Linked DNA regions of Macaca mulatta. The protein of the gene in region 1 interacts with the protein of each later gene in a biochemical or structural test. Links are inferred from orthologs where the notes say so. Each region holds a gene or a part of one and is shown on either strand. Other genes may lie near its edges.

Region 1 (3,804 bases):
TAGGTTGGGTCACCTGGTTACGTCCAAGAAAGGTGACAGGCTACATGTGGGGAGACAGCTTTTGAGTTTATTTGGCTTCTGGCTTCATTGGATCCCGAGGCTAATACTCCAACCCTGGCTGGGGCAGCAGGAAGGCACCCAGAGAGCCCTGGCCCCAGATGACCCCCAGGGCAGGAGGCCCATGCTCTAAGCCCTAGGGCAGGGGCCACAGTAGCAGGACTTGGTCAAAAGTGCTGGTGACAGCTGAGGCCGGCCCCTCTTCCCTGCACCTCCCCTCCTCCCTGCATCACCCCTGCGGGCAATTCCCTGAGACAGGCTCTGGTCCTCCCAACCAGCTGGGTACAGTGTCGGGCCCCAGTAGGGCAGGTGAGCTGGGAGGTTTCAGGTATGGGGGCGCAGGCCCCCCATCCAGTGTGAAGGCTTCCTGTGCAGTGTAGTGTTCCTGACCCCCAAAGCGGGGGTGGGGTCCCTGGGGAAACTGAGGCAGCTGCAGAGGCTGGCCCAGCTCCTGTTCCAGTGTATGCTGTGACTCCTCTAAGGCAGCTGGAGCTCGGGGGAGTGGCCTGGCCCACTCAAGGTCCCGCCTCCGGCACCCAAGGGGCCTGGGCACCCATGTCTTTGGTCTGTGCCCTGCAGTCCTGGGGGCCTCCCCGGAAGGGGTTGGCAGGTGGGGAGTCCCAGAAGGGGTCTGAGTCTGGGAACAAGGTCCAGGGTGCCCGGCGGGGTGCAGGCTGTGGCGAAGGCAGGGGAGAAGGCCGTGGCCCAGCCGACACAAAGCTCCAGGGATCAATGCGGCTGCGAAGGGGTGAGGGCCGAGGTCGGCTGATGAGGCCCAGGGGTGGTGAACGTGGGGTGCCTGGGGTGCCAGGAGCAGAGCGTGATGTCCCGGGTGGGGGTGAGACAGTGCCTCCTGTGAGATATAGGAGGGGCACAAGGTCAGGCAACCAACAACTCCTGAGGTCCCCAAGATACACTGCCCTGCTCTGGGCCTCAGTTTCCCCATCTGCACAGTGAGCTACTTGACTCAACTTCTACGGCCCTTCCTGCTCTGCGTGCCTCTGTTTTTTCGTAATGGTTAGGAGTGAGGCCTCTGGAGCAGGCCGGCCTGTATGTCCCGGCCCTGCCACTTACCAGCTGTGGGAGCTCTGGGTCCCTTCATCTCTGTGCCTTAAATTTCCTTATCTAAAAATGGGCATCTAAGAGCACTTAGTTCTGTGGTTGTTATGACTGAATGAGACCATCTCGGGAAAGCCTTGTAAAGAGTACTTGACACAAGTTAAGGAACCAGGAGTTTGCTACTATTATGACTACATATATGCTCTGTCGCCCAGGCTGGAGTGCAGTGTCATGATCACGGCTCACTGCAGCCTCAACCTTTCAAAGCTCACGTGATCCTCCCAAAGTGCTGGGATCACAGGCGTGCACCACTGCCTGGCCTTGATTACTTCTGTTATTTCACAGCAGGCATCGCCCCCACCTGCCTGGACCACGTGATAGCTGAATTTAGAACTCTGCTCCCTACATGGTCTTCAGTATCCCAAGCGCCTGGTTCAGGGTCCAGTAGATGACTGTGGTCTTGGCCTTGCCTCCTTGCATGTCCCCAGCCACTCCTCCCTCCCTGGGGACCCCCATCTCCCATCCGCGAAGCAGGCCGGCCTCAGGCCACTCACCGCGGGGCTCCTCCTCACGTCGGGGGCTCTTGGCTGACCGCTGGCCTGCAGGAATACCCAGGTCCAGCAACAGGGGTGCAGGAGTGGGCGGGGAGTCGGGCGTCTTGGGCGAGAAGCGAATGAGCGGGGAAGGGGGCGGCTCGGTCGGGCAGGGCGCGGGCATTGGCGTTGGGGGTGTTGTGGGGGGATCCCCACGCTCACGTCCTTGGCTTCCCGGTGGCTGCAGGTCGCGGCCGAGGCCCAGGGAGGCAAGCAGGGCGGTGCCACGCAGTAGCGCACGCTGGATCAGCTTGGGCGTCCCAGAGCTGCTACCGCGCTCTGCGGGGAGAGGCCTCTTGGGTTCCTCGGGCTCCAGGCTAGGCCGTAGGGGGTGACCTGCGGGGCGGAGGCGGCACAGGTGACGGCATGGCTGATGCATCTTCAGGATGAGGGCCCAGGACCTCTCTGCGGTCTTGGAACTGAGTTCTGCCCTCTACCAGCATCTTCCCTGGTCCCACAGGTCCCACGGCCTCCCTACCATGCACCCACACTCCGGCCTTTCACAAGATGGGTGCTGGGAGGGGAGGGCAATGCAGGCGGAGGAAGCGACAGCAAAGCCTGACGGCAGCCAGTGACCCAGACCCCAAAGATGGATGGGCAGTCCCAGTGGAGGCAGGGCTGAGGCCAGGTCACGGTGGGCCTCCATGGCCTGCCAGGGGCAACCTCCAGGTCCAGGGCCATGGCAGGTCCCACTGACTGGGACCGGCGCCCTGTGCTCTGTGCCCACCCGCTTCCTGGCTTGGCAGCCCTGCCCCTTCTGCCCACCCACCCCCACTCCAGCTGTAGCTTGTAAGATGCACACAGTCAACTCTAATGTACATGGCCGCCTTGAGGAGCACAAATCCCTGTCCCTATTCTAGAAAGGAGGAAAATGAGGTTCAGAGGGGTCAGTACCTTGCCCAAGGTCACAGCTAATTTACAGAGTAGGTATTTGTGCCAGGCCTGAGCTGAATAACATAGGGGCATTATGTTGTCTGATCCTCATGCCCGGGGGTTCCAGGCTTAGAGGTTGAGGGCTTGCGCGGAGCTGTACAGCCAGTGAAAGGTGGAGCTGGCTTCACCCCAGGCAAGGGCAGTAGAGCCTTTGCTCTCCACCATTTCCCAACCAGACTCTGCCCTAGATTTCAAGACACTAGTGTCCCACTTTCCAGTCTAGGGTTGGCCTGACTCCATTCTAGATCACTTGGGCAGGGATGGGGAAACCGCTCATTAAGGAGAAGGGCCTCTAGGATGGGCTCTCACAAGCACTGATTTTGGCTCTAGAATCTGCTATGGCTCTATAAGAAAGTCTGGCCTCCTCCCTCTGCCTTTCCCCTCCTGCCTGGAGTGCAAAAGCAGGTTGGATGTCGGGAGGAAGAAATATAAGGCTGGGAAAAGTGAACTTCTACTATGAACCAGGACTCAGCTGACAGTCCCTTCTGTCAGCCACAACCCTTACTCAGACTCTCTGCCTCTTACCTCACCCAACTCCCACCCCGACCACTACCACTGAAGGAACAAGGGAATCCTTCTAAAATGCAAACCGGTTAAAGACAGGTCTCTGCTTAAAAACTACCCATCACTTCCAGCTTCATTCACTCATTCATTCAATCAACATCTACTGACCCATGTGCCTTGGCCCCTGTCCGCAGCCCCAGTCCTGAGACTCCTTGGCTCTCAACTCTTCTCAGAGTTCAGCCAGGTTGCCTTTTCCTTGGGTCTGGTGAGCTGCATGCCTGTGCACACACTGTTTGCTCTGGCTGGCTGACCTTTCCCACCTCAGCTTTCAGTGACCTCTTACGTACCATCCAAGACCCACTGGGATGTCACTTCCTCTGTGAAGCCTTCCCAAAATCTCCCTGAACCTGCATAGTTATTGCTCATGTTATGCCTCATACAGGTGCTACTGGACTTGTCTGTGAGTCTGCCTCCTTCATCAGATGAGGTCAAGGCAGTGTTTAACATGTTGATGCCTGGCTCTTAAAATGCAAATCCCTGGCTCGCGCCTGTAATCCTAGCACTTCGGGAGGCCTAGGCAGGCGTTTCACGAGGTCAGGAGATCAAGCCCATCCTGGCTAACACGGTGAAACCCTATCTCTACTAAAAATACAAAAAA
Region 2 (3,804 bases), about 11 Mb from region 1:
AGTGGAAGGTTGGGGTACTGGGGACTAGGGGGTTATCCACACCCCTTGGTTTCCTCTTGCCTGGCAGAGCTTACTGAGTCTCTGGGGGTAGCAGGAGGTCAACACAGAGACAGGCACCCCCTCCCCAAGGCATAATGCATGCTCCTATGGTAACCACTCTCCTGACACCATATCTGGCTACCTGCCCTCTTGGGGGCTCAGAGGAGCTCTGGGCTCTAAAACCAACCCCTGTGCTCTGTCCTCCATTTCCTGGCTAGCCAGCCCCTTCTTCCTGTTCTGAAAAGACATAGTTGGGATCCCCATCTGACCGCAGCTCCCCAGGTGCTGGGGACTTCCTGGCAGCATTCAGATCTTTAGGGACAGGAGACAGTCATCTTCCCTAGGACAAAGCCAAGGGCCCAAACCAGCAGCAATGCTGGGCAAACTCCTCAGTGGGGGCCTTTAGGACTAGGGGCCAGAGATGGTCTGGGAGGCCATGCAGTGCCATCTGTCTGGTGTATAGCAGCCAGCAGCCACAGGAGTTATTCCAGGAGTGCCTTGGCTGTTTCTTCCTGCCTCAAAGCACTGCAGATTCTACCAGACTCCACCCTGTCTGCCTCAGGCCCTTTCCAGGGCTGCTCCCAAAAGGATTTAGGGTAGCCCTGAGTCTCCCTTAAGTCTGGTCCTAATTGTTAATGCCCTAGGTCTCAAGACTTCCTACCTCTCTCATCTTGTGGGCAGCTGAAGGAGCTACTTCCTGCCTTAGTCCCCGACAGCGGTAATAATAATAATAATAATAAATAAAATTCTGATTGTACACCCAAGACATGCCAAGCAGTATACCTATGTTTCTTGCACATCATTTCATTTCATGAGGGTGCCAGCACAGACCTGAAACCCCTTTATCGATATGGGGATGCCCTTACCCCGTCCCTAGTCTTCCTGCCACCCCACTCAGGAGCTCCTGGGAGCTCACCCTTACCCGTAAGGACAGGGTGTCTCTGCACTGCAAGCTGATGCCACACTCATCAGTGATCTCCGAGAGGTCCTCATCCTCAAACTCCTCCAGGCTGATGTCGTGGGTGAGCCTGGTGGGGACAGGAAGCCAAAGTTACAACTCAGGGGCACTGCTATGCCCGCTCACATCTCCCTGTTACCTCTTTCAGGGGGCAGCCTCTTGAAGGCCGAACACAGCCCCCAGAGGACAGGATTTGGGGTCCATCTGTGTCAATGCAGGGGGTAGTCAGCAGGCAGGGAAAGAGCATGGGGCTCGGGCCAAAAGGCAATCCTCCTAGGGTGGCAGCGGAAGAGGCGGCTCTGGGTTACTCCAGCTCCTCCCTGGGAGTTGTCATTCTGTTGCCAACCAGCAGGCAGTGCTTAGAAGGCCTAACTGGTCAGAGCCTCCTCCCAGGGTCAAGGCAGGTGCCAAGGCCAGTTCACCATGGAGAATCCATGGAGTTGAGAAGAGCAGCAAGCCTGGAGTAGGAGAGCTCCCAGTGCAACCTCTGCAGTAGCAAGACCCGAGGTGCTGGCAGCAGCCTCAAAGGAGGGCCCCACGCCCCAGCTCAGGAAGACTCATGCCCCTTGAGCCCAGGGAACAAGCGAAGGAAAATCTGGTGTGGGTAGTTTCAGCCTATTCCAGAAAGGACTATAGCCTCATGCTGTGCACTTGGTGGTCTCATCTCTTCAACCACAAAATCTTCTCCTTTTCCATCGTAAGGACCCTGAACAGGAGGCTGCACACATGGGGTCAGGAAAAGCCCCAGGTGGAATCAGAGGTGTTATAAGCTCAGGAGACAGCTCAGAGCACCGGGGCACTACAACACTAACCAGCTTCACCAGAACCCCCCTCTCCCTAGGCCAGCCCTGAGTCCCCACCTCAGAATGCAGAGCTGGGCTAGCCACTGCAAGGCAGCCTGTCTCTTGCTCACCTCTAGTCCTGGGCACTCTGCCTGGCTTGCTGGAGGGTAGAACATTTGGGAAGTTGGGAAGAATGTATGAGGCTTTTCCCAGATAAGTCCAAGAAATTGAGGCACAGAGCAAGGGAAACCCACGAGTCCAAGGTCACCCAGGAGAGATGGTGGCTTAGCCCCCAGGGGAACCTAGGAGGCCTAGACTCCCTGCCGCTCGCCTCAATCAGACCAAATAGAGACCCTGAGCTCGATGGAGCTCACCCCAGCTTGGTCTCCACCCCTGCCAGCCCCGGTAGCCCCTACCAGCGCTCCCATTGATCCTCCAACCAGCTGTCATTGTCTGGGCTCGAATCCATCTTCAGCACCAGCTGCATGGAGAGCCCTGCCCGGCAGGGGGGCTGCGGGGCCCCAGGGCTGCCCTCTCATGCCCAGAAGGGTGCGGGGGCCAGGGCTCAGGGCAGGGCTGGGGGCCTCTGGCCTCCACCGCCTGGGCCTGTCTTTCTGCGTCCTGCCCGCTGCAGAAGCCTGGGGAGCTCATTAAAAATAGATAGGCCAGGAGAGGAGGCTGCAGCTGCCGACCCGGGTCCCAGCCCCAGCTCTTCCCAACGCAGCCCTCAGCTGCAGGCAGCTTCCTCCCAGCTGGCCGTTGCGCTGCTGTCACTGTGGCCGCCTCCCTCACGGGATCAGGTTACTTCAATCAATGCCACTGGCTCCACCTGCCCTTCCAATGCCCCTGTCGGGGACTGAGGTGGCCCCCCTCCCTGGCCCAGGCTTGTAAGTAGATGGCAGAAATCTAGGATGTTTCCCCCCAAAAGCCAGCCCTTGATTGGCTTTAAAGGGCCAGTGCCCCAGTCAGGGTGCCAGGTGGGAGATGAGGGGGCACTTCCCAAACACCTCAAGAATGAACACTCCGTTCGCACTGCCATAGGCTCAGCCCTCCGACCTCATCTGGGAGGCTTCTGTGGGCCCAGGATGCATCCAGACTGGATTTGATCTGGGCTGCCTCCTCCTGCAGCCAGGGCTCAAAGCCTTCAGGACCCAGGAAGGCAGGGCCTATGGATGCAGGAGGCGCCAGAGCCACAGCTAAGGGCGGGCCAGTGTTTGGGCCCTTAGAGCAGAGCTGGAAGGGCTGCTGGGTGGTAACGAGCTTCCTGTCCCTTTGGAGTGACATAAACAGAACCTGGAGGCCCCTGGAGGGCACTGCACAGAGGGGTGGGGGATGGGGGCTGGATGGACAAGGTGCCCTGTAGGGTCACTTCTGACTTGCAGCCCAAGGGTGGTGGTTCCCCGGGCCATGGGGAGGGTGTGGCCGGCCAGCTGGGGTGGAACTGGGGAGGAGGGCCTGGCCCAGAAGCCAGAGCAGCCCTCCTGCATCCGTCCAGGACAGGGTGGCATCTCTAGCTCAGGGACAGTAACCCAGTGGCCGACACCAAGTAAGTGTTCAATTCACACTGGCTGCCCAGATGGTCACCGAGAAGGCCAGTGGTGCAAAGGGGGACTCAGATGGCATGGGAGAGCTGCAGGACTGCTGACCCAGAGGTGCCCTCAAATGCCCCTGCTCTGTCAGTGACCTCTGCACTTTTTTTTTTTTTTTTTGAGACAGAGTTTCACTCTGTCACCCAGGCTGGAGAGCAATGGCATGATCTTGGCTCACCACAACCTCTGCCACCTGGGTTCAAGTGATTCTCCTGCCTCAGCCTCCTGAGTAGCTGATATTACAGGTGTGCACCACCACGCTCAGCTAATTTTTATATTTTTAGTAGAGACGGGGTTTCACCATGTTGGCCAGGCTGGTCTTGAACTCCTGACCTCAGGTGATCTGCCTGCCTCAGCTTCCTAAAGTGCTGGGATTGCAGGCATGAGCCAAGGCGCCCGGCCCCCCTGCACATATCTGTGTCTCCTCACACGTGGT

The links.
Region 2: the proteins of MAP3K11 (region 1) and MAPK8IP1 form a complex in vitro, tested with the Homo sapiens proteins (2 studies listed by BioGRID). The link is inferred for Macaca mulatta from reciprocal best matches to the Homo sapiens genes MAP3K11 and MAPK8IP1.

The regions. Positions count from the first base shown.
Region 1 is NC_133419.1:8,792,127-8,795,930, reverse strand, and holds the end of MAP3K11 (mitogen-activated protein kinase kinase kinase 11), read right to left. Parts: intron 2,046-3,804; coding exon 1,671-2,045; intron 911-1,670; coding exon 573-910; 3' UTR 52-572; downstream 1-51. UniProt on the Homo sapiens protein: Activates the JUN N-terminal pathway. Required for serum-stimulated cell proliferation and for mitogen and cytokine activation of MAPK14 (p38), MAPK3 (ERK) and MAPK8 (JNK1) through phosphorylation and activation of MAP2K4/MKK4 and MAP2K7/MKK7.
Region 2 is NC_133419.1:19,718,901-19,722,704, forward strand, and holds part of MAPK8IP1 (C-Jun-amino-terminal kinase-interacting protein 1), read right to left. Parts: intron 2,667-3,804; exon of another isoform or gene 2,267-2,666; coding exon of another isoform or gene 2,196-2,266; intron 1,068-2,195; coding exon 962-1,067; intron 1-961. UniProt on the Homo sapiens protein: The JNK-interacting protein (JIP) group of scaffold proteins selectively mediates JNK signaling by aggregating specific components of the MAPK cascade to form a functional JNK signaling module. Required for JNK activation in response to excitotoxic stress.